3 linked regions of the Rhinolophus ferrumequinum genome follow. The protein of the gene in region 1 interacts with the protein of each later gene in a biochemical or structural test. Links are inferred from orthologs where the notes say so. Each region holds a gene or a part of one and is shown in the gene's direction. Other genes may lie near its edges.

Region 1 (7,869 bases):
TGATTGCCAGGGAGAAAGCAGACCTTTGCTGTCAAGTCATTTTTAAATAATCACAGTCTCTAAGAACATAGCAAAGCAAAACACTGAATAACTGAAAGAGGAGTAAGATTTTCCTATCAAGTGACATAAACTCTACAAATGTCAGCAACAATAAATGAGCTGGGCAGAGATGGTGTAATTGAAGTTTAGTGAGAAGTTGCCTCATGCCAAAGCATTCATAGTTTTATCTTGTTCTATCTTGTTTATTCAAATCTTGTGGTTTGTCCAACATACGTAGCTGATTTCATGTACTTTTGGTATTTCTATAGCATTTCTAATCATTGTTCATTTTTTCTTTGGGAAGTTGGTCCTCCCTAATGTCCCACTGATTTGGGAAGTGGCCATCCCCAGTGAGTTCTGTGTCACACCCATCCACAAAATATGTCATGTTGGCCCCACTTTCCTTTACAGAAAGGCATGCTCAGACACAGTGAGGGAAGGGGAGAGGTGTTATTACAGATCAACTGATTAGAACACCTTCCAGGTAGGACAGGTTTGTGAGTTTGAGCCTCAGGCAGATTGGGTCTGTCCTCTGTTCCATGGCTCCCAATTGCATACCCATCACCCACCGAATCTCATTCAAGATCAGCGTGATAGTGAACCCTATTGGAGGTGGATCAGTATCTGCATATCCCCAGACTTGAGGAGCACCTGTAACAACACAGGCCAAATTATTATTGATCATCTTCACAATTAAAATAACAGGTATCAAAATATTAAGCAAAATATTTTTGTTGTTAAACAAAATGTGCCAAGTTGGAAATGATTTCCCAGCTCTGAGCGTCTCTCCACTAAATGATGCATGCCAAAGTAAGCATATCACAAAAATCTGACGTTTCAGGGTATGAGTAGTGAGAAGAAAAACAAATAGAGGAAAGGCTTGTATGTATTTTAGAAAAGAAAACAGCTCAGAAACAATACTAATTTTTTTTCGTAATGATTGTTCTTTCTGTTTATAATTTTCCTGATAGTCATAACACTAGGTATGGATTTGGAACTGCACACCCCCTGTGTTTCTTGCTCTCCTGATATGTCTCCAGAAATTTATGTGCTGTATTTGTTTTTATCACAATCAAAATTTAGAGCACATTGCATACAAAGTACCAAAGTGAAACATCAATATGAACTAGAAATGCCTGATAAAGTTACAGGAGCATTTTTTTCCCTTGTACTTTTTAGCCTTTTCCAAGTAGTCTACCATGAACGTGAACTACCCTCACAAATAGAAAAAAATCATTGCGATTGTTCACTAACTAAGACGATGCTGTTTGGTATGTTCCAAAGTTTGTAATATGGGCTTTACCTCTTCTTCCTCCATCCCTTCATTCACTCTTCAAACAGCCAGTTTTGGAAGCGACAACTCTGCTTTGATGGTAGGCCACGGTTAATTAACCTACTCCAGAATTTCAAATGAGAGATTTCAGCTCATTCGACAATTCTAACACACTTGTGCAAAATTAAATATTGCTTATGTGAATAATTAGCTTGAATCACGTGTGAAAGCAAACGGACAGTTTTTTAGGCAGTCTCTAAGTGTTCTTCCTTTCATGCTTCTACAAATGAACATTGAGAGCTAAAGAGAAGCGCCTTTCCTTTGACCCAGAACAGGGTTTCTGCAGGGGTGTGTGCAGCGTTGGGAGAGGAATGAACAAGGATAGGTATCCAGCCAGCCAGATCAGACCTAGTGCTCAACAGGAAGAAAAATTCCTTAGCCAGACAGCCATCACATCACGTTCTGCAAATGTTAGCTTATGCTCAGTCTTTAGCCCTAGTCTATGAAACAGAATAACTGTGCTGCTTGGGTGATTTTGAACAGCCAGGACCCCACTGGCTTAGCTGACTCTACCACTTAGTTATGATTTCTATTTTAAAAAAATCTCCCTTCATGCAGCTGATCCTTGTACTTCCCTGGTTTATTTTAATGCTGTCTTTAAAAGGTGATAGCTATTTGAGAGCAAAGGAAAGAAGACAGATAAAATGTAGCACCTCCTTGGCTAATTCAGAACTGCTTGAGTCACAGCTTGATCCAATACAGTTACCACCCCCAGGCCAGGGTGTCAGAGTCTCTTATTTTGGAGTTAGGCCCAGCTGGGGCTTTTGAAACTGGCTCTAGACCTTTAGTAGCAGGACCAGATGGTGGGATCCTCTAGGAAGAAATTCTGCTGTGGACTTTCTAGTCCCTAACCAGGTCTTTGAGCATACTGTTCCTTACCCCAACTAACCTAGCTCTACTCAGGGAGGAAATGAGGACCGAGAAGAGGGAGAGGGAGGGAGGGAGGGAGAGGGGTAGGGAAGAGAGAGGGAGGGAAGAGAGAGGGAGGGAGAAGAGAGGTAGAGAGAGAGAGAGAGAGAGAGAGAGAGAGAGAGAGAGAGAGATTGGTCTTGTATTTCCTGTGTATGCTAATAGCAGCCAGTATTCTTTTTTCCTCAGTTATCAGGATCTCTCCCCCCTCCCAAATGCCATGTTTTTCCTGTTTTTGGCTTTCCTGCTTTTTTTTGTTTTGTGTTAAGAAATCCTTCTCCTCTTCAGTCTTATCTGATAATTTTTAATTTCTAAAACAACTGGATTTTTTTTTTTACCAACCATCTCATAACAGGAGCATAATCTGGTCTTGGATTAGAAATATGCCTGCCAAAATCAAAAACATAATTTATTTTTAAAGTTGTTTCTCTACAAAATGAGTATTTAATTTTTGCTTATTTTATTTTCGTTTGTTTATTTTTGCTCTTGGCCAACCAATATTTCTCCCTTTCTATTTATTTTCATGCCTAGTCCTCACTGATTCTATAAGCTCCCCAAAATTGTGTGCTAAATTCCTTTTTGCTGAAGTTAGCCAACTTTTGGTTAGCTGACTTTGATTTGGCCAGCTTAGTCTCTCAGTAAACAAAAATATTAACCAATGCACCTTGCTTCCATCTTGCCCCTCACCTCTTCTCCCTAGGTCTAAAATTTCTAGTGATTAAGCATAGATTAGATAACAGTCATCCAAATGTTGTCTTCCAGACCAATTTTCCAGATAAATAAACTGGAATTAAAGGAATGGGAAACAAGATGGGTCTATTTCAGCAACATAGTATCGCGAGGTGTATCCAAAAGACACATGTTCAGGGGCACATGGCCATCTGCAGCCCTGGAGGTCAGGACTTTTGACTATTTACAGTTTTCCCCATAGTTGGCTTTGGTGAAAGACTGTGGTAGTATCCTTCCCTGTAGCATTCTGCTCTGACATCCTTCCTACTTCTTCAGAACCAAAAGATTGCTGGGACAGAGATAACTGGGACTCAGGCAAAAGAGTAAGGACAGAAGTCATTGGCAGGCAATGACAGAACTGACATTACACATATACAGGGTCATTCAAATGCTTTTAGGAACATTATCTCTGCTGTTCTTCACAGTAATGCTGGGTGGGGAGGGGAAGCAGGCAGAGCAGATATCTCCATTTCACTGTTGAGAACCCCGAGCTTCAGAGAGATGAATTAAGTTTTCCAAGGGTTCAAGGCCAAAACCAACATCTGCTCTCTTCTCCTATAAAGAAACCAAAAAACTAGGCTGAATGATGTGTTGGCAGAGAGGAACAAGTAGTAAATGAATGAAGAGTTGTAGACCTTGAATAATTAATAGCTACTACTGAGGTTATACCACCTGTTAGGTTCTGAGATGAGTCCCTTACCTTTAAGACGGGGAGAACATTTGGTTGCCTGAGAGAAGGGATCGGCAGCACAGCAGATGCTCAATTAATGTTTAATGAGTGAATGAGATAAGACATGCGATAGGATGGGCAACCTGAGAGAGGGCCTTAGTACCTTATAAGGTGTTTTGATTCAACAGAACAGGTAACTAGAAGCCTCTGGAGAGGATTCATACAGAAGCACTAGATCAAGCTCCCTGACTTATTGGTCAACTGCCAAAACTTTTATACTCAGATGCGAGTTTTCCGTGACTAGGTCTGAAATGAGGAACAACCATTCGGCCTTTGGACAACCCACGGTAGCAAACCCCAGGAAAAAATAGTTGTCCTCAGGATTTTGGGTTGCTCCCTTTCCTTTTCGCTTTCACCTCCCGAAATACATTTCGGAGTGAGCCAGGGCGTTTCATCACTGTAAATTCAAGCCCGACAGAGAGGCGACTCTGCTTCAGAGCCCGTGGCGGTCGCTCGCTCGGAGTAGCGTCGCCCAGCGGGCAGAGGCAGCGGGTGTGTTCCCGGCCTCCCTCCTCCCGCAGTACTCGGCGCCCGCAAGCTGCCACCTCCCCAGGCAGCCCCGGAAAGCAGACGGCGCTGGGAGGTGGGGCCGCGGCCGATCCCGCGCCTCTATTAGCCGGCGGGGCAGCGGAGGCGGGGCAGAACCGCTGTGATTGGCGGGGACCCCAGCCGGAGGGGGCGGAGCCACTATATCAGAGGAGTCTCTGTCGCGGCGCAGGCAGTCTGGCTGCTGGAGTGCGGCGCCGCGGTGGAGACTCTGAGAGCCGGTGGGCTAGCGGGCTGGCAAGGGGGTGGCAGGAGGGCGCGGCGGCCGCGGGGCGCAGGACAAGGGTCTGCAAGGCGGCAGCGTCCCGAGGACCAGCCTTACTGAGACCCGGGCTGGGTCTGATTGGTGGGGAGGCGGCAGCCCCGCTCACACCAAAGAGGAGGCGGCTGTGGCGGCAGCCGCGGCCCCAGCCATGCTGTGCTATGTGACGAGGCCGGACGCGGTGCTGATGGAGGTGGAAGTGGAGGCGAAAGCCAACGGCGAGGACTGCCTCAACCAGGTGAGGACGAGGGGTCAGGCGGGGACCCTAGGCCGAGGGGCCTCGCGGCGGCGCAGTGCACCTGGGACGCACCGCTTGCCAGGGGCCGGGCGGCGCTGCGGTGGGGGCGGAGGTGGGGTGGGGGGGTGGGGTCGCGTCCCAGGCGCCCGGCCCGCGCCCCCTACTCCACCGGCTTGGGGCACATGGCCTCCCAGCCGGGAGCGCGTGGGAAACCGCAGAGTACGCGCGCGGTGGCCGGCCACCCTGTCCCCCGATCCCCCCGCCCCAGCTCGGCACTTTCCCGGAAGAAGGCGGACCAGAACATCTGCCGCAGGTGTGTGCATGAAGCCGCCGGTCGGGTCCCCGCGGGGCCTGCCAGCGACACCTGCGTCCCGGGATGAGGTGGCTGGAAGCGGTCACAGGTCTCTCAGGTTGTTTGGCAGACAAGCCGGGCCCGTGTCTCTTGCTGCTGCTCAAATGGACCATTCACCTGCATCTTCGGGTTTGCGAGGACGAGAGTACCGTTTTGGCATCTACTCCTCGCTTGTCTTTAAGCACGCGTTTCTTTAAGAGCGAAGAACGGTTCCAAACTGCATATTGGTAGGGCAGACAGCAGATTTGATCTCAAGTGAAACGCTGTGCTCTCAAACCCCCTAGACCTGAGATGTTTGGAAAACCCTTTCAAAGCTTAGCTGACACTTGTGGCGTGTTTCCTCAATGTGTTTGTTTTTTGGTAGTGCAGATGGTTAAAATTGTCCAGATACTAAGCTGCCAAATCAACTGTGTCGTTTGTGTTGACGGAGGGAATTTTGGTGATTAGAATAAGGAGGAAAATTCCCTGAGATTGCCCTCCTCAGCCTTTCTGGAAGGCTGCTTTTGAGGACTCCTTTTTCTCTACTGCCATTGGCCGTGTCCTGAGTATTAAAGGACATTTCTATGCTTCACCTAGTAGTTTAGCATCACTAGATCTTTGTTCTTCCAGTTTACAACAGAAATTGTAACACTGTTGTTGAACTTTGTAAAGAGTAGGCAGAAATCTTAGAGCCAGTGGAGTCCTTGGGTTTACTTTGACCACATGGACCATTTGCTCATCCATGCTGCATTCATTTTTGTTTCAGGTGTGCAGGCGATTGGGAATTATAGAAGTTGATTATTTTGGACTGCAGTTTACGGGTAGCAAAGGTGAAAGTTTATGGCTAAATCTGAGAAACCGGATCTCCCAGCAGATGGATGGGCTAGCCCCTTACCGGCTTAAACTGAGAGTCAAGTTCTTCGTGGAGCCTCATCTCATCTTACAGGAGCAGACTAGGTAAAGTGATGCTTAAATAAACCAATGTCAAATAGGCCTTTGGTTCCATTTAGAAAGGGTCATTGCACCTTCCCAGAGATGTTTAGGCAAAACAAAGGCAAATTTGTTTTGATACAGAAGAGTGAGTTGGTTCATCACTTCGAAGTTTTCCATGGCGCAGCCCTTATATCAAAGTGAACAGGGACCTATATAGTTGACATGGGGTACATTTTCCAACTCTTCTTGTGGTTTTTCTTGTCTTTATAGACAATGGGAGAGCAGGGTTGAATTCTTACAAACACAATGGCAGATGCGGGGCTGGGTGGGGGGGCAGTGGGAGGAGAGGAAGAAAGGAAGGAAAGAAGGAAGGAAGGAAGGAAGGAAAAGACCCACTGACTTCCTGATAGCAGCAGCTAATGCCCCAGAGTAACCCCTGCCTCTCAGCAGTGTTACTATAGGTCACTATAGACTGTTCTAACAGAAAGCAGGAAACCCTTCTTAAACTTGGTCAACTTCTTCAGGCTAGTGTCAGATTACAATGTGTAGCAAAGAGCTCTGTCCGACTTAATGCAGAATTTTAAAAGTTTTTAAGTTTCTGGAAAACTTAGAGAACTCTTTTAAGAACAGTATAACCAAACTCCATCCCACAGATATGTTATATATTATTGTTGCATTTAGATTGTTAAATTTATCGCTTTAGAACACCACCAGTAGTGGTAGAAAACCAGAGAAGGTGTTTTTCTCTTGCAAACCGAAAACATTTTCTTCTCTGGGCTGACTGGAATACTTTTCTAAAGGATGAGAAAACTAGGAAAGCAGTGTTGAACATTTATTGCTGAAATGCAAGAGACCTAAATCTTACAGTGGCATGTTAAAAAAAAAAATTAAGAAAAACAACTAATTCTAAATACAGCAAACTTTAGCTCTAAATTCTAATGTTTTCCATAATTGTTTGGCTTGGAAATTTTCTTGTACATAAAAATGTGAATGTGAAAATTTGAGTAATGATGAGTAAACAATACCTTTAAGAGTTTTAACATGACATTTTTTGTTTGTTTACCTAAAGACTGATAGAAACATATTTTGAAATACTGTTTATTTGAATTTGAAATCTCTGCTTTGTCTCATTATAGAGCTTTAAAGAGTGAGGGAAATGTTCAGTTTTGTTTCTGAAGGAACTGGTATATTAAATTCTTAGTGCTCTTGAAAATGTCTTGCAAAATATTCAAGTGATTACATGTTTAACGATGTTTTAGCTGTGTATTAATCAGAATGGGTTGAGGGTTTTCTTTTTTTTATTGAAAGCTGATTTGTGAAAGGTTCCACTTTGCATTTCTGTGTGATAACTGGCAGTCAAGTAAGAATATAATATATATATATATCACAATATATTGGAATTTTCATTGTGTACTTTTATAATGATTTTCAGTCATTTCAGGGCCTCCAGATGCAAATCTATTTTGATGACACAAATATATTTTTTAAATCTGTAGAAGCTTCGAAGAGCAAATACATCTTTTAAACAATGGCTACAGTTATAATTATATAATACATTTGTATAATGAATGCTTACAGACTTTAAAATTTACTACTAGACGGTCTTGTACTTTCTTGTAATTGAGTTAATAACTATTATCAAATCCATTTTATTCATGCAAGAAATAGAGACATTCTATGAATTAGAATTGGAATCAAATTTCCTACTTTATTGACTCAATTGGCTTTGACTCTTGAGATTCATACCTAATAGCGCTCAAAGAATACACATATCTAGTTAGACTAGGTAATTTTAATTGATTTTAGATCCTTTTGAAAT
Region 2 (8,292 bases), on another chromosome or scaffold:
ACCAACTGAGCGATTTGGGAGCTCAGCGGCAGCTCAGCTCAAGGTGCTGTGTTCAATCTTAGTTGCAGGGGGTGCTGCCAACAGTCCCTTGCGGGACTCAAGAAATTGAACTGGCAACCTTGTGGTTGAGAGCCCACTGGCCCATGTGGGAATCAAACCGGCAGCCTTAGGAGTTAGGAGCATGGAGCTCTAACCATCTGAGCCACCGGGCCGGCCCAAGGTGAGTGTTCTTGACTTAATAAAAAAAAAGTAAAGTGTGGCCAGTTAGCTCAGTTGGTTAGAGCGTGGTGCTATTAACACCAAGGTTGCCGGTTTGATCCCCACATGGGCCACTGTGAGCTGCGCACTCCCAGGAAGGAAGGAAGGAAAGAAAGAAGGAAGGGAGGGAGGGAGGGAAGGAGGAAAGAAAGAAAAAAAGAAAGGAAAAAAAAAGAAATCAGATGCTGAGGTTGCTAAGAGCTACGGTAAGAATGAATCTTCTGTTCATGAAATTGTGAGGAAGGAAACAGAAATTTCCTTCCTCAAACTGCAAACTATCTCATCTTAACAATATTAAGCCTTCCAATCCATGAACTCAGCATGTCTTTCCATTTATTTATGTCTTGTTTTATTTCTTTCAGCAACATATTTTAGTTTTCAGTGTACAAGTCTTTCACCTTCTTAGTTAAATCTATTCCTAAGAATTTTTTTCTTTTTGGTGCTATTATAATTGGAATTGTTTTCTTAATTTCCTTTTTGAATTGTTCTTTGCTAGTGTGTGAAATGCAACTGTTTTTATGTGTTATTTTACATGCTACAACTTTGTTGAATTTGCATATTATCATGTTTCCCCGAAAATAAGACCTAGCTGGACAATCAGCTCTAATACGTCTTTTGGAGCAAAAATTAATATAAGACCGCATCTTATTTTACTTTAATATAAGACCGGGTCATATAATATAAGACCCGGTCTTATATTAATTTTTGCTCCAAAAGACACATTAGAGCTGATTGTCCGGCTAGGTCTTATTTTGGGGGAAACGGGGTAGTTCTAACAGTTGCGTGTGCGTGTGTGTGTGTGTGTGTGTAGACTCTTTTAGCGTTTTCTACACATACAACTTCTACTGCTTTTCTACCTCTTCCTTTTCCATTTGGATGTCTTTTTTTTTTTTTCCTTTTTGGCTAATTATGCTATCTAGAACTTCCAATACTATGTTGTTGAATAGAAGTAATGAAAATAGGCATCCTTGTCTTTTTTCTGATCTGAAAAAAAATCTTTTTGCTTTTGAACCATGGGAATGTTTTCAACTCTTCAAACTAAATGCAAATATCCTTTTTCTCTAGTAGCCTTCCACTTCTCATACTAGAATTGGCCTCTGCATTCTCAGGCACTGCGTGGCCTTGTGTTTATAAGTACATCCTGCCTTGCTCTCTCTCCTGAAGTCCTTGAGGACAAGGTGATATCTTGGTCAGTGTGGGGACAGAGCCAGGAGTGCAGTTTCCAGGCTCTCAGCCTCACGTGGAAAGGTGCTGGCTCAGGTAGTAAATGGCCGTCAACTGTGATTGGATGGCCATCAGCTGTGGCTAGTTGGCTGTCAGCTGTAACCAGTGAGCCATTGGCCACTAATATAACTGCTATGGCCACGCTAGCAGCAAATGGGGACTAGCAAGCAGATGGTGGCTGAGCTAGCAGGAGCAGACTGCAGTTAGCATGGCGGATTACAGCTAGCAAGGAGGTAGGTTGGCAGAGAAGTGGACAGTGGGTTGCAGATCGTGTGGCTCCTGCTTCCTGTGTCTCCAACCCAGCTGCCAGTGAGACTATAGTGGTATGACTCCCCTATCTATGGCTCTGTGGGTGTTCCTTTTTGACCTCACCATGTCCTGCGTTCTTATGTGGGGAGCGGGACCAGAGACCCTGCATGACATCCTGCATGACACCCCGCATGACAGTCAGTTTTGAATCTCCCCCAACCACCGACTCAGGGCTGTCTCTGTGTTCTCAATATAGACTTGTTATCGAGTCTAGAGTTCTATTTGAAAGGAAGGACTCACAGCCCAGGACAAAATTTGAATTCCAAATTATCAAAATCCCAAGGACAGTGGAATTTAGAAATAGCGCATCTCTGATGTTGCAGCCACTCCCATGATACTTTCTCTTATTTTCATTTATTTATTTAACCCTTACTACAGACAGGTGCTGGAGATATAAGCCATGGTCTCTGCCCTCACGTGGCTAACAGGTATTTTATGGAGATAATTGATGGCAACCAAGTCAAGGCAGGTCCCTAATCGCACCTATTAAAAAGCACCAAGGCACCTGTGGTTGGTTACTCACACTCTCTCTGGGCCAAAGGCCAGACCGCAGCTGCCATGGCTCACCTCTGCCAAAAGGCCTGACTTCTTTGGGTGGAGCCTTATTGTAGTCTGAGCCTCCTGGTGACTTAGCGAGGTGAAAACCGGGATAAGGCGGGCTGTCCATTAGAATAAGGAAAATGCCTAGCCTGGGTTGTTTTACACGACTTTGTAAGCCCAGGAACTTTCAAATGAAGCGGATTCCAGGAAAGGATTACTTTTAAGTGCCTATGAGAAAGAAAGTCTTCCTTGAAGAGAAGAAGGAAAAAAGATGCTGTTGTAACACTAAGACAACCAAAAACAAAAAGCGAACCCATGTATGGTGTTTATTATGCCAAGCACGGCTCCAATCACTTCATATACATACATATGTAAATTCACTTAATTCTCACAACCCTCTGAGCTAGTTGCAGAAGAGCAATGATGGCTCCATAGAGGTAGAAGTTGAGAAATGAATCGGCGTGACCCCTTCACAGGGTACTATGTGACCATGTCCATGTGTGGTGTTAGGGACAGAAGGGGCCTCACGATTTCCGCAGGCAGGTCAAGAGAACTGGGGAGAACCTCAGCAATGTTCTTTTCAGAGTTTTTGTGGCCCTTTTCCAGGCCTGGCCTTACATCTACATAGGACTAGCTCCGGAGACACATTAAGCTAAGTTCCCTTCCTGAAGAAAACCTCTTCCTGGTCACTCTTTCCAGGCCTGTGAAGAGGAAAGGACCTCCTACCCCCAGGTGGTTAAGAGAAAGCTGGGCTCACAATAGAAACAGAGCACAATATGTCTTGTACTTTTTCTGAAAGGAAATCAAATCTATGATCCTAATTGACTGAAAGAAAATGTAGCATATGGTATAAGGGATGGAATTTAATGGTGACACATTGAAAATTTTGCAACAACTCCCAGAACTTGTCCATCCTTGTAAATTTATGTAGGTGATGGCTAATTATTGCATTTGACTCTGACACTGAACCTGCCAAGTAAGGGAAACAGGCATATTTTCCAGGTTGTGAAAGCTAATTTACTCACCCATGCTCTGTCTGATTCTGGAGTTGGGGCTCTTAACTGCCAAACACTCTGTTTATAAATTTCTTCCTCTGGATTAATCACCATTTTTCTTTCCAAGTGTTCAGTTGTCCCCTTTCTGTCTTCTCTCATGGGTTTCCCCATCAGCGTACTAAGAGCTTAGCATGCCCCGCCAAGCTCAGTTTGTAAGCCCCAGAGAACTCTGCTCATTCTTGGGGGAACCCTCCAAGAAGTCCAGATGTTGTGGGAGCCTTTTTTGGCAAGGGGCCATTGGCAACTGCAGGAATCCCACAAGAGACTCTGATTCTTAAAAGCTGCTCTCTATCAGCTCTGTTCGCTATTCACTTGACCCAGAAAACCCCACAAAGTCATGCAAATCAAGAGATTCAAATCTTCGTGTTCACTTTAAAAACACTCATGATACTGCACAAGCCATCAAGGGTATGCAGATCTAAAACGCCACCAAGTATGTGAAGAATGTCACTTTATAGAAGCAATGTGTGCAATTCCATCTTACAATAGTGGACTTGGGAGGTGTGCCCAGGCCAAACAGTGGGGATGGAGGAAAGATTGGCGGCCCAAAGAGTGATGAATTTTTGCTGCACACACCTACAAATGCAGAAAGAAACGCTGAACCTAAGGGTTTTGATGTAGACCCTCTGGTCATTGAGCACAGCCAGGTGAACAAAGCTCCCAAGATGCAGCGCAGAAGTTCGTGGGCAGGTTAACCCATAATGAGCTCTCCCTGCCACATTGAGCTGATCTTAACTGAAAAGGAGCAGATGGTTCCTAAACTAGAAGAGAAGCTTGCCCAGAAGAAAAAGATACCCCAGAAGAAACTGAAGGAACACAAACTTATGGCCCAGAAGTAAATTCAGCATCAAATAAATGCTAATAAATAATTTTAAAAATGTCCAGACTCCAGGTTATGGGTCAATTGATTTTAAAGACGTTTTTGCTCCTAATTCATGTAAGTGCCGGATCCCACCAAAAACCTGTTTTTGGCTGTACTTCTGTGAGGATTTTATTTAAATGCCTTATTGATTACCATTTATACTGTAACTTGGAAAAGCTATCTAAAAACTATATAGGACTGAACTCAGTTGAAATCTATATACAATTCCTAGAAAGGAAAAGGCAGTAGAGAAAGGAGGGGGGAAGTTTCCAACATTTTTAGTTTTTCCTTTTGAGGCAGAGGGGAGACTGCCGTTAGACAATTAGATGTTTTGGAAGGACAGACGGTTTCATCTTTGGGCACCAAAGAGAAAGGTAGCAATTAGAAGTTAAGGGATGCTTAAGGAGGCACTTTTAGAAGGCACATTTCCAGTTTGGGGAGGCACAGTTTTTCACGGGCTACCCACATTCGACAAAGCAAGGAGCCCGCCCTGGAGCGGCTTTGGAAAACAGTGGAATCCGTCAGGGCTTCACGGGTTAAGGGGCCTATGTCACATCAGCCGTTCGAAACTCCTCCTCTCACAACTCCTCCTCTCACAGCGAGGTGAAGATATTTGAAAATCACCCCACTGCAAACTCCTCCCCCCTACGAGAAACCTCTCATTGAAATGCTGCAAATGACTGGGGCCCCGCATGCAGTCGCCGCTGGGCTGCGCGAAGCCCGGGTTTCCAGCGGGGACACTGAGGACCGCGGACAGCGGATAACGGCCTGGGCCGGGGCGTTGCTGGAGGGGGCTGGGAGCATGAGGCTGTGCTGGTCCGTCGCCCTGCTCCTCGCCGCGGCGGGGGCTGCAGGTAAGGCTAGCTCCAGGCGCCCGCGCGGGGTCAAGGTGAGCTCCTCGAACTCCGAGAGCCCCGTGGTAATTTTTTTTTAAGGGAAAAACGAAAAATCACTCCATCCTTGGGAGACGTGGGGGGAAATGGTACGAAGTCCTTTCGAAACAGCTGAAGGGAGAGTAAGGGGCGCAAGGGTTTGGGGAATCTGGAGGAGTCAGGCGAAACGGGATGCGGATTTCCCCACAAGTCTCCGTGAAGGGGGGGGATCCCCTTGTCTCCCTCAGAGCAAGGCACGAGTACCTCCAGCCCTGGGGATGAGGGACCCCTTCCCCGAGTTATTTTTGGGACAAGGGTGACGCGAAGCCCCGCTGTTCAGCCTGGAGGTCCTGCAGATGCTCCTCCGCGCCCGCCCGCGGGCAGGAGTTACCGAGGCGGCCTAGTTGGCTTTGTGCTGCCCGAGGGCGCCACTGGCTCTCGTAGCAGAGCAGAACGCGTGGGCCCCGACCGCTGCACGCGCGCTTCTGCCGAAGGCCAACGCCTCCCACCCCGCCCCCCGCCCCGCCGGCCCGCCCCCGATCTCCCATTGGGCGCGATTCAAACAGGCGAGCCTCGAGCCTCTCCTCTTGACCAATGGGAGGCGGCTACTGCGGAGGCACGCTGCATGGGGCGGGGCTAGCTCGGGATTCGTGGGGCACCTCGTTCTGGGTGAGGCGGGCCGAGGAGATTCCTCGTGTGGGATCCCGGCTCCTGTCACAAAGGAGGCGACACGCCCCAGGCCCCTGGATCCGCCGCCGCAGAGCGCCTGGTTCTCTTTGCGGTTTCCTCCGCGATCTGTGGCGAGGGCTTCATCCCCACTTTGTTTTCAGGGCCTCCCTCCTTCGCCTGCCCGGGACTAGTCGCAGACGTGTCTTGGTTCCTTCTGAGGCTGAAATGCCGGTCCCTCCTCGGACCGGCACTTAGGGGAGGAGCAGGCACCGGGATCCAGCGATACCCGACGGACCCCTCAGGGTTGCCTAATTTGTCCAGAGACTCTAAAGAGGTTCAGTTGAGCTGTTCACATGGCAAATTTTCATTTTAGGGGATTTCAAATTTAGATTTGGGCAAGTGGCTAGTTGGTGCATGATCCTGAGTGGTTTTTAAAAAATGAGCGTCCAGAGGCGTTTGACCATGCCCTAGGTAATAGATAAACATGGGCCTTTTCCTATGTTGAACCAGCTCAGCCCATAAAAGGACTGGGATTGCCTGGTTAACGGGATTGCAGGAAGTTGTTTTTATGGGGGAAGGGGTTGGCTTTGAGTAGAGAGCTTTGAACTCGTGGAATGCCTACCTGTGACACATGGGTTTCTGCCGGGAAGGGAGAAACGGAGGGAGGTTGCCCTCACATAGCAGAGGACTGAGGTGATAATTTCACCACCAGTTGCGTGAAGTGGAGGGAGCGTGGCTTGGTCAAATGACACTTGATTAACCTGTAGTTCATACACCGATTGACTCCTTCCCTAGAAGGAAATAATGGCAATGAAGTCTTGAGCAAGATGTGATGGTTACTTTAGTTTTTTCTCTCACTGGGTGGCTGGGGATCTATCTCCTTTTCTCAAGGAAGCTCTGAGTCCTGATGTGTTCCCCAAACTCCTGAGAGCGGGCAGCTACTTCTCTCCTCCCGAGCAAACAAGATGCCCTACATTCGAAGCAACCCTGGCTGCCCCAGTTTGCTCCTTAGCTGTCTTCAAAGCATTTCCGGGGAGGAGGTGGGAGATTGTCCGTTTCCTTTGTGAGTGAAGTAGTTGGAATCTGAACTGCAGGCCTTCACTTAGCCAGATCAAAATCTTTTAACAGTTGTCCTACTGGAGCAAAGGTGCAATAACAGCCTCCATAAGGAGAAGGTATCTTAAGACTGACAAACAAAGCAGGCGACTCTATAGAATATAACAGAATTTATTATAGGGTAATTTACTTAAGGGAGGATTGCGTCGGAGTGGAAGAGAAGACCCAACGGTTTGGCACAAATTGTTCTCTGCTGAAGACTCCTGTTACTGAACCTTTTTTTTTAATAGTGTAACTTAGGTACTAATGACTGATAGATAAGACAAAGGGACAATGCAGTAGTGCCATACCTCCTGTGGTCCATATTATCCCAGTTTGATACTCATCTCAGTTGTCATCCTGGCCATTACTAACAAAAGTATTTATGGTTAAATTTTAAGGAACAATGGATACTCATTAACCAGAAGGCTTTGATATGCTTACGAAGGACAGTGAGGTTGGTTAAAAGTCACAGCATGAAGGGACACAAAGATGGAGATGGTTTTTTGTTCACATCTACATGTATACCACAGTTGTGAATAGAGTATCAAATATGCCAAGGGCATACCAAAACTCCAAGAGAAAGTAATGTCCTCCTAAGAGTTGTATCTGCTTTAGCAACTTCTTCCAGGCAAACTGGTAAAAGATAGGGAGAGCTTTTTGGAGACTGCAAACCTTTAAGGGGAATGATGTGCTTCATTCTTTCTTTCCAGGCTAGTCCAGCTCTTATCTGTAGGGTTCCTCCCCTGATAAGATCCAATTCTAGAGCCTTTGTTGCTCATGCTTTGATGGTCCCTTCACATTCTGATTAAGTACATTAATAACATCCACACTTCACCCAGTTGTCAAGCAAGTGACCATTTGTTGCTAAGAACTGCGGAAGTAACCAGCAGTGAACAGTGAAGTGACAGAGACAGGCTACTGCTCCCCAAAGTTGCTGGCAACAAAATCAACCTGGGGATAGAGATCACTCCTGGGGAAAATACCCTTGGCATCTGAGTTTGGAAAAGAATCCTGGTATATTGATTTCCCATTCATTTTCAGCTAACTCTGTTAGTTCCAGCCATTTATTTTTTTTCCAGGAAATGATTCTATCTATAATTTTGATTTCCCTTACCACAACTATCTTCAGTAGCACGGGACAGCTAACATCGAAAGCATTTGCTACCTCATTTGTGCACTGGAGAAAAAGCAGAACTGTGTATTCTCCTTTTCTGTTTCGATAACTTTGTTCCTGATTGGTCACTCCTAACAAGAGAGATCTAAGGGCTAGAGTTTAGAGACTTTTTTTGGAGTGCTTATGTAATTTTAGGCATCCTCAGCAGGAGGAGATATGGAGGTGTCTGCTCTGTTTTACTTTCGCTGAAATTTAAATGAAACTAACAGTAAAATCTATCCACTTTTCAAA
Region 3 (7,878 bases), on another chromosome or scaffold:
TTTTCCAGAGTGACTCAGTTCATTATTGGGAGTCACAGATGGGCTAGAATGGAGATAACCCACCCTGGTCCCCCATCACATACCCCAGACTCCCTGTCCTCTATCCCCATTCCCCTTCCTTCCCCATCCTTAAACTTAGCTTAGCAGCCTGGGTACCCCCCTCACAGTGGGGCCCAGCCAGGGCAGAGGAGGAGCATGGTGTCTATGTGTATGACCTGATGGCTACTGTGGTACACATCCTGGACTCACGCACAGGGGGCAGCCTGGTGGCTCACATCAAAGTTGGAGAGACCTACCACCAACGCAAGGAGGTGAGTGAGGTAATACAGGGCAGGGACACTCCTGGTGGTGGCCACAATGGAATCCCAGGTCTGTCCTTATCTTCAGTCTGAGCCAGAGTGATTCCAGCCATCACTTTGGCATCAGCCTTTCTCTGTATCTCCATAGGGCGTTACCCACCAGCAGTGGTATCTCTTCAATGACTTTCTCATTGAACCTATCGATAAGGTTAGTTATAACACATTGCATTCCCCCTTTCATCTCCCTTTTTCCTAGCATCCTCATCCTCGGTGCCCTAGACAATGCCAGGCAGATTCAGGAGGGAGGAGGGATGGGTTTTCAAGAATAAAAATGGTACCTAGTCCTGTCTTTTGTCTGACATGGGAAAAAGGAAAAGGGGGCCATTCAGTGCTTTTTCTTTTATAGCATGAAGCTGTGCAGTTTGATATGAATTGGAAAGTGCCTGCCATCCTTTATTACATCAAAAGGAATCTTAATTCCAAATATAATCTGAACAGTAAGTGGTACAGAGTGGACCCATGGTGTGGGCAATTTAGATTGGTCTTCAGAAAGAGACCTGGGAAATAGCTTGTTGAGATTAGGATTTGTAACCAGTGTTAATAGTTCCAGGATATTACAGAGATTCCTTCTTATAAGGCCTTAAATTTAGAAGCTGGAGATCCGGAGGGTATAGTGGGAAAGAGGTTATGGGGGAAAAGTCTGATAAAAATGGCTAAAGTTATGATTTTGAGTCTTATCATTCTTATCCCCAAGATTTCTTCTTTTGGAGGTGAACTCCTTATTAAGTCCCTTTTTGGTGACTTTAAACCATAGTTTCTCTGTAACTTCATTTTTCTAGGTTTTCTAAGCTAAAGTCCAAAGTAAATATCTTATTCTTTCCTTTTGTTGACTTTTTTCCTTAGTATATTTCTTGATAATTTCACGTGTTCCATCTACCTGCTCTGTTCATCAAACATGATCTTTTTATTCACATGCTTTGATTATTGAGGGATCACAGTGTAGACCTGGTTTCTGGTCAGCCACCCTGGGCTTCCCTCCCCTGGTCACTTCCCTGTCCCCAGCCATCTGTCTTCCGGATTCTCCCTTCTAGTCAAGAACCCTATTGAGGCAAGTGTCCTGCTGGCTGAAGCCTCACTGGCACGGAAGCAGCGGAAAACACATACTACCTTTATTCCGCTGATGCTGAATGAGATGCCACAGGTTGGGGACCTGGTGGGCCTGGATGCTGAGTTTGTCACCCTTAATGAGGTAACCAAGGCCAAAAGTGGATTTTGGGACAGAATTCTGGGGCTATTAGGAGTCAGAAGCATTTCTCTGACTTCCTTATTAACTCTTCTCATGTAGGAGGAAGCAGAGTTGCGCAGTGATGGCACCAAGTCTACCATCAAACCAAGCCAGATGTCAGTAGCGCGGATTACCTGTGTTCGGGGCCAGGGACCGAATGAGGGTATTCCGTTCATTGATGACTACATCTCCACCCAGGAGCAGGTATTAGAATAGGCAGGTGCAAGTGAGACAGACCCTGTGCTTATGTAGAGTGCTAGAGAACCCAGGGAAGAGGAGTAGGGGGGACTTGGCACCTTGCTTCCTTGGAGACTTGCTGTTTTCTTTATCCCTAGGTGGTGGATTACTTGACTCAATACTCAGGGATAAAGCCAGGAGACCTTGATGCCAAGATTTCCTCTAAGCACCTCACAACTCTCAAGTCTACCTACTTAAAGCTTCGTTTTCTCATAGATATTGGAGTCAAGTTTGTGGGTCATGGTTTGCAGAAGGACTTCCGGGTCATCAACCTCATGGTTCGGGCAGGGCTCTTTTAAGAGTCTTTTTTTGAGTGTGGGCCCCTCAGGGTATACATTATGCTTTTGGAGAATGGGAAATTATGGCTCTCCTACCTTCAGCCTCCCATTCTTTTATCCCTGCCAGGTGCCCAAGGACCAAGTCCTTGACACTGTCTATCTGTTTCACATGCCCCGAAAACGAATGATTTCCCTGCGATTCCTTGCTTGGTACTTTCTGGGTGAGTTGCTCTGCCTTTGAAGGCCCTTGTGCTCATTAAGAGCAGGCAGAAGTGTTGGAGGGGCCAAGGGGAGTAGTGGTGAGAGATACTAATGGATTTAATTAGCTTCAATATCCCTTCTGTGCACCAGGAGTGGTGTTTGGCTATTTCCTTAAGGGCAGTCATATTTTTGTTGTTGTTTATCCGGGGCTGGGGATGTGAGTAGGGGACATGTTTTACCTTCCTTTGCTAGGTCCCAAACTATTCCACCTCTGCTTCCCCCAGACCTGAAGATTCAAGGGGAGACCCATGACAGTATTGAGGATGCCCGCACAGCCCTTCAGCTATACCGAAAGTATCTGGAGCTAAGCAAAAATGGCACTGAACCTGAGTCCTTCCACAAAGTGCTCAAGGGTCTTTACGAGAAGGGCCGAAAGATGGACTGGAAGGTGCCTGAGCCTGAAGGCCAGACAAGTCCCAAGAGTAAGGCTTGGGATGGGACAAGGGAAACTGGACTGGGTGGGTTTTGATTGCATATGTGAAGATTATACCCACCATAATGATGAGAACAGTACCACTCTTACCTTACATTTGTAAAGCACGCAACAGTTTCCAGAGCACTTAATCCTCCCAACAATCAGTGAAATAGATTTTGTTATCAAACTACTAGTCCTAACATCCTCTTGCCCAATTCTAAAATGTTTGGGGCAGGTCCATGCTCTTTCCTCTTGCATTTTTCCTTCATAAGAAGTATCCCAGGTACTTTTTTTCCACTCATCTTACGAGTCAATGCTCTTGCTTTTGTCTCTGACAGATGCAGCCGTTTTTTCCTCAGTGCTGGCACTCTGACCTCACCCTCTCCCAAAGAACTACTGCCTCTCCCTTCAGTGTTCTGTGGTCCCAGAACTGGGAGATGGCTTCCCAAGTTGGCCATACCCTGTCCACTTCCAGAATTGGACCTGCTCAGGGTTTATAGATGGTGCTATTAATAGAACTGGAATGCAGCAGAATTGTTGCAAAGGGTCTAGGAGCCAGATTATTTTTTCATCCTTTGTAAAACAGTGGGCCAGAAAAAGTCTAGAATTGACCCAGATGGAAAATTGATTGGTATTCTTAATAAATATCCTGAGTGATTAATATCCAGGCAAAGAAGATCCTGGAACCAAAACTCCCCGTTCCTAGTTGGCTAAGGACTGAAGTACTGGACTGTGACTAGATACAGCAGCAGCTCAAGACTTAGCTCGTCTCTGATTGCTTGAGGAATGCCAGAGGAGCTAGTGTGTATTCTTGGTGGCCCTAGCAAACCAGTATTGCCAACACCATCATTGCCAAAAGGGCCATTGGGTCCTAGACAAAGCTTGGCTGCTGGCTTCACTCCTGCTGACAGCTGAGAAGCATCTGTCTTCCATCCACTCCACTCTCCTGTCCCAAGTTTTGTTTTCTTGTTATTTTTTAAAATTTTGTTTTAAACTGCATGTTTTATAAAATAAAACAAAAATAATATTGGCTGTCATCTATCTTATTAGAGACCTGCGAGTGTGGGGTTCTCAGACTTCAGTCCTCCTCTCCTTTTTGTTGGTTTTCTATCACAACTGGGAAAAACCTAAGGGTTTTTAAATTCCCACCCAGAAACGAAGGTAAAGCTTTGTGGAGTCCAAAGTTAAGGATATTGGGGAAGTATAATTATGTCTTTCCTGGGCAATGTTAGGTCTTTGCTGTGCCTGCTAGTATCCTCAGGCAGTTTTTTTTTTTCTCCCTTCCCTCACCAACTCTTGAGTCAAGCCCTTGGTGGAGGACGTAGCTCACTGGCCCATGTAGGAATCCAACTGGCAAACGGGGGTGTTAGGAATACAGCGCTCCAACCACCTGAGCCACCCGGCCGCCCCCAAGTCAGATTCTTTTTAAGATGTAAGATGTACAGTATGGTTTCCCCGTTAACTGTAAAAGAGGCGTGGGGAAGGTGACAAACTACAGGTCCCAGGATATCTTGAGACCTGTAGCTACTCACAAAGTATGTGGTGCTGCGGTGCTTCTTGGGAGATGTAGTTTCCTAGGTACTGAAACTAGGGCTTTTTACTGGCTAGCAGCGCTTTCTTTCTGAAGGTCCTACCTAGCCCACCTACACCGACCACACACGCTCGCCTGACCACCTCCATACACCACGCCAGGATCTGTCCTTCCTTCAAGCCACTCCTATTCTTCGGCTGACCCCCTGGTGGTCACGTGGACCTGCAAGCCACGCAAGTCTGGGTCCTTCTGCGATCCATTGGGGTCCTCGCTGCCTAGGAGCCGCTCGGATGCTGCCTGTCCGCGCGAGACTTTAGAGGAGCGGGTTTGGGGTCGATCCCTGGTGTGGGGCTTGCACCGCAGAGCATCGGAGCCGGGTTTAGGCGCCCACTTAGGGTGCGAGGATCTGGGTCAGGCGGTCGCCGGGCCACCCCGTGTCTGAAAAGCTCTGGACTGCTCTGGAGAAGCCCGGACAGCCCCGCTCCCCCCTAGCCAGGTGCTAGGTCCAGAGCTGAAGTGAGAGTACGACCGTCTTCCAGCGCCTGGGCCAAGGCGGCGGCCCTGGGAGCAGAGGTGGGACGGATGCGAGTGGCGCTGAGGGTCGGGGATGGACTGGAGCGCAGGCAATGGAGGGGTCCTTAGAAAGGGGGCTGGTCCGCACGGGAAATAGGTTATAGGCTGGAGGTGGGGACGCAGTAATCTCCAATGCTGGGTCCAAATAGGCCCTACTTATTGAGCGTACTCTTCGCGGGCCAGCCACCTCACTGACTCCTGGCCTCCTTGCTGGTAGCTCCTCTGTGCCTTTCGTCCTCGCTTAATCGCCAGCCTCCGTTTTGTAGCTGCCACATAGCCCCGTGAGCTCTAGGCGGCCGACGCTGAAGTACCAACAGCTAGGGCCTCACCTGTCGACGTAGTGTCTGGGGGCTGAGTCCTAAATCCTGAGCTCGCGCTCTCCCTCACCGCCCGGGGTAATCCGGGTCCTCAAGCACCAGAACAGAGGAGCCCCTTTGTGTCCCGGCCATTTCCTGGAAAGTAAAACCAGAGTCACACTGAGGCCTCTGTAGGCATGGGGATGAGGGATAAGTTGGGGGAATGGAGCTGGCTCCTCATACTTACGCCTTATTCCAATCCAAACCCAGGTGGAGCAACCCCATTACGTTTAAGATGAAAGGCTGGGGTTGGCTGGCCCTGCTTCTGGGGGCCCTGCTGGGAACTGCCTGGGCTCGGAGGAGCCAGGATCTACACTGTGGAGGTAAAGACACAAAGAGAAGTGGGAGGAAGGAGGGTGGGGAAGACAGGGCTTTGGGAGGACATGATATCCAAAGTCTGGATAAGAATGAGTGGAAATCCCTGTGTTGATTCCTTTCTCCCCCTTTCTCCTCCTCCATCTTCTCTCCCCCTGCACCAGCTTGCAGGGCTCTGGTGGATGAACTAGAGTGGGAAATTGCCCAGGTGGATCCCAAGAAGACCATTCAGATGGGCTCTTTCCGAATCAATCCAGATGGCAGCCAGTCAGTGGTGGAGGTAACTTACTGTTCCCCCAAATAAAGTAGATCACTCTGACTTTGAATGAGAACTCAACTAATTAAGAAGGAGCTTGGTTTAATAGAAATGAAGAAAACATTGACCCAGAGAGGTATCTAAAAGATACGGCTGTCTCATGTGGAAAAGGCTGAAGGCTTATACCCTATGCACTTACTTCCTGGTTCCAAACCTTAATATTTTGTTTCTGCTGTAGAAGTTGTTAGCAGACAGGGAACCCCTTCTCCACATCCTTAATCCATGTGATTCATGTTTTCACTATGGCAATACAGTATACACACAAACATTCAAAAAAGAAACAGAAGGTCTTATTCTTCCTTGTATTTAGGAAATTTATTTTAATTGAAAACAGAACACACATATAACAAAGCTGTGCTTAGTGAACAATAAAGAAATGTTAAGGTTGTAATGCTTGTGAAATGATTTAATAGTTGTTTTCCTCAAGCCTACACTACCTTTCTAATCCTCTCTTGTTGAGGGCATGTTTTAGTCTCAATACAAAAAATAAAAATAAAATCATTACCTTACACCCATAAGAATTAAGGGAATTCAAAGGAAAAGAATACATAGCTGGCTAGGGTTAATCAAAGAGGTCTCTGTTTATAATTTGGGCCTAATGACACCTGTTTTATTTCTTAGGCTTGTATACTGAGGTAAAATAAGACCATATATTTGAAAGCACTTTGAAATTACACAAATAAACCATACTGTTTTTAAATAGAGCAGGCTTTTTAGCATTTAGCTTTTTAGAATAGCTAGATTTGGAAGGAAAAGGATATAAATTACTAATGTACAGAGGTAGAAGAGTGTGACCCAAGGCTGAGGACATTTCTAGGTGCCTTATGCTCGCTCAGAGGCCCACCTCACAGAGCTACTAGAGGAGGTATGTGACCGGATGAAGGAGTATGGGGAACAGATTGATCCTTCCACCCACCGCAAGAACTATGTACGTGTAGTGAGCCGGAATGGAGAATCCAATGAACTGGACCTACAGGGCATCCGAATTGATTCAGACATCAGCGGCACCCTCAAGTTTGCGGTGAGCTATGGAAGTGGGTAGCTGGTTCTTAGAAATTAGGGGAGTTATTGGAGAGCTCAAGTGGAAAGTTGGGTTAATACCCTTGTCCTCTCTGGAGGCAGAAGCAAGAGGCCTCTTCGTGCTGCCCTCTCTCACTCGTTTCTCCCTTGGGTTGGCAGTGTGAGAGCATTGTGGAAGAATATGAGGATGAACTCATTGAATTCTTCTCCCGAGAGGCTGACAATGTCAAAGACAAACTCTGTAGTAAGCGAACAGGTAAGCTGCTCCCACTTTCTATCCTCACAGTCCTGTAGAAACTGGTACATTCCTTAGTGTGCCCCCCCGCCCCCCCCAGCCCTCTGCCCTCTGATATTAGCTCAAGAGTTATCTTCCATTACCCATGGCTTAGGGAGTTGGGTTGTCCCTCTCTATTCTCTGTCGGCTTTCAGAATTTGTGGTTCCCTCACCTGAGGCACAGGTGAGAGGATAATGGGAATATTTTGTCATTTAAAAGCATATGCTCTGAAAAACGGTGGTTGGTATGTGTATCAGTTTGATTTGGAGTATTTTCTTGATAGTGGCATATATCAGTATGAGAGTGGCATTTTCCTTCAAACTGTTATGTGCTGTTTGCAGATCTATGTGACCATGCCCTGCACATATCGCATGATGAGCTATGAACCATTGGAGCGGCCCAGACTGACAGGCTTGATGGATCACCCCCAGGAGGGGAAGAGGGTGGCAATGCCTTTTATATTATGTTTTTACTGAAATGAACTGAAAAAATATGAAACTACAAGTATGAACTGTGTTGTCTTTTCATGCCCAGAATTAGCCCTTCCATTAGACTTGAAGATAGGGGATTCCAGACAGGAAAGAAAAGGGAAGGGAAGGAAGAGCTTTGGGAATGAAGGTAGGAGGAGCCTGAAGCTTTCATTCTTTTGCCATCTGAGATTCCTGCTGCACTCACAAACTAGATAAACATGTATTCAGTGCCTACTCAGTAAAATGT

The links.
Region 2: of the proteins of MYLIP (region 1) and LDLR, one has a biochemical effect on the other in vitro, tested with the Homo sapiens proteins (4 studies listed by BioGRID, with this or other methods). The link is inferred for Rhinolophus ferrumequinum from reciprocal best matches to the Homo sapiens genes MYLIP and LDLR.
Region 3: the proteins of MYLIP (region 1) and CNPY2 form a complex in vitro, tested with the Homo sapiens proteins (2 studies listed by BioGRID). The link is inferred for Rhinolophus ferrumequinum from reciprocal best matches to the Homo sapiens genes MYLIP and CNPY2.

Annotation. Positions count from the first base shown.
Region 1 is NC_046292.1:78,574,691-78,582,559, reverse strand, and holds the start of MYLIP (E3 ubiquitin-protein ligase MYLIP), read left to right. Parts: upstream 1-4,460; 5' UTR 4,461-4,699; coding exon 4,700-4,786; intron 4,787-5,883; coding exon 5,884-6,074; intron 6,075-7,869. UniProt on the Homo sapiens protein: E3 ubiquitin-protein ligase that mediates ubiquitination and subsequent proteasomal degradation of myosin regulatory light chain (MRLC), LDLR, VLDLR and LRP8. Activity depends on E2 enzymes of the UBE2D family.
Region 2 is NC_046301.1:39,348,530-39,356,821, reverse strand, and holds the start of LDLR (low-density lipoprotein receptor), read left to right. Parts: upstream 1-4,892; 5' UTR 4,893-4,915; coding exon 4,916-5,102; intron 5,103-8,292.
Region 3 is NC_046293.1:55,632,771-55,640,648, reverse strand, and holds CNPY2 (protein canopy homolog 2), read left to right. Parts: upstream 1-4,380; 5' UTR 4,381-4,879; intron 4,880-5,445; 5' UTR 5,446-5,470; coding exon 5,471-5,558; intron 5,559-5,714; coding exon 5,715-5,830; intron 5,831-6,683; coding exon 6,684-6,887; intron 6,888-7,045; coding exon 7,046-7,142; intron 7,143-7,502; coding exon 7,503-7,546; 3' UTR 7,547-7,668; downstream 7,669-7,878. Other genes in the region: PAN2-PAN3 deadenylation complex catalytic subunit PAN2, read left to right, coding at 168-311, 448-507, 706-796, 1,391-1,548, 1,645-1,788, 1,920-2,099, 2,227-2,320, 2,585-2,782 and 1 more. UniProt on the Homo sapiens protein: Positive regulator of neurite outgrowth by stabilizing myosin regulatory light chain (MRLC). It prevents MIR-mediated MRLC ubiquitination and its subsequent proteasomal degradation.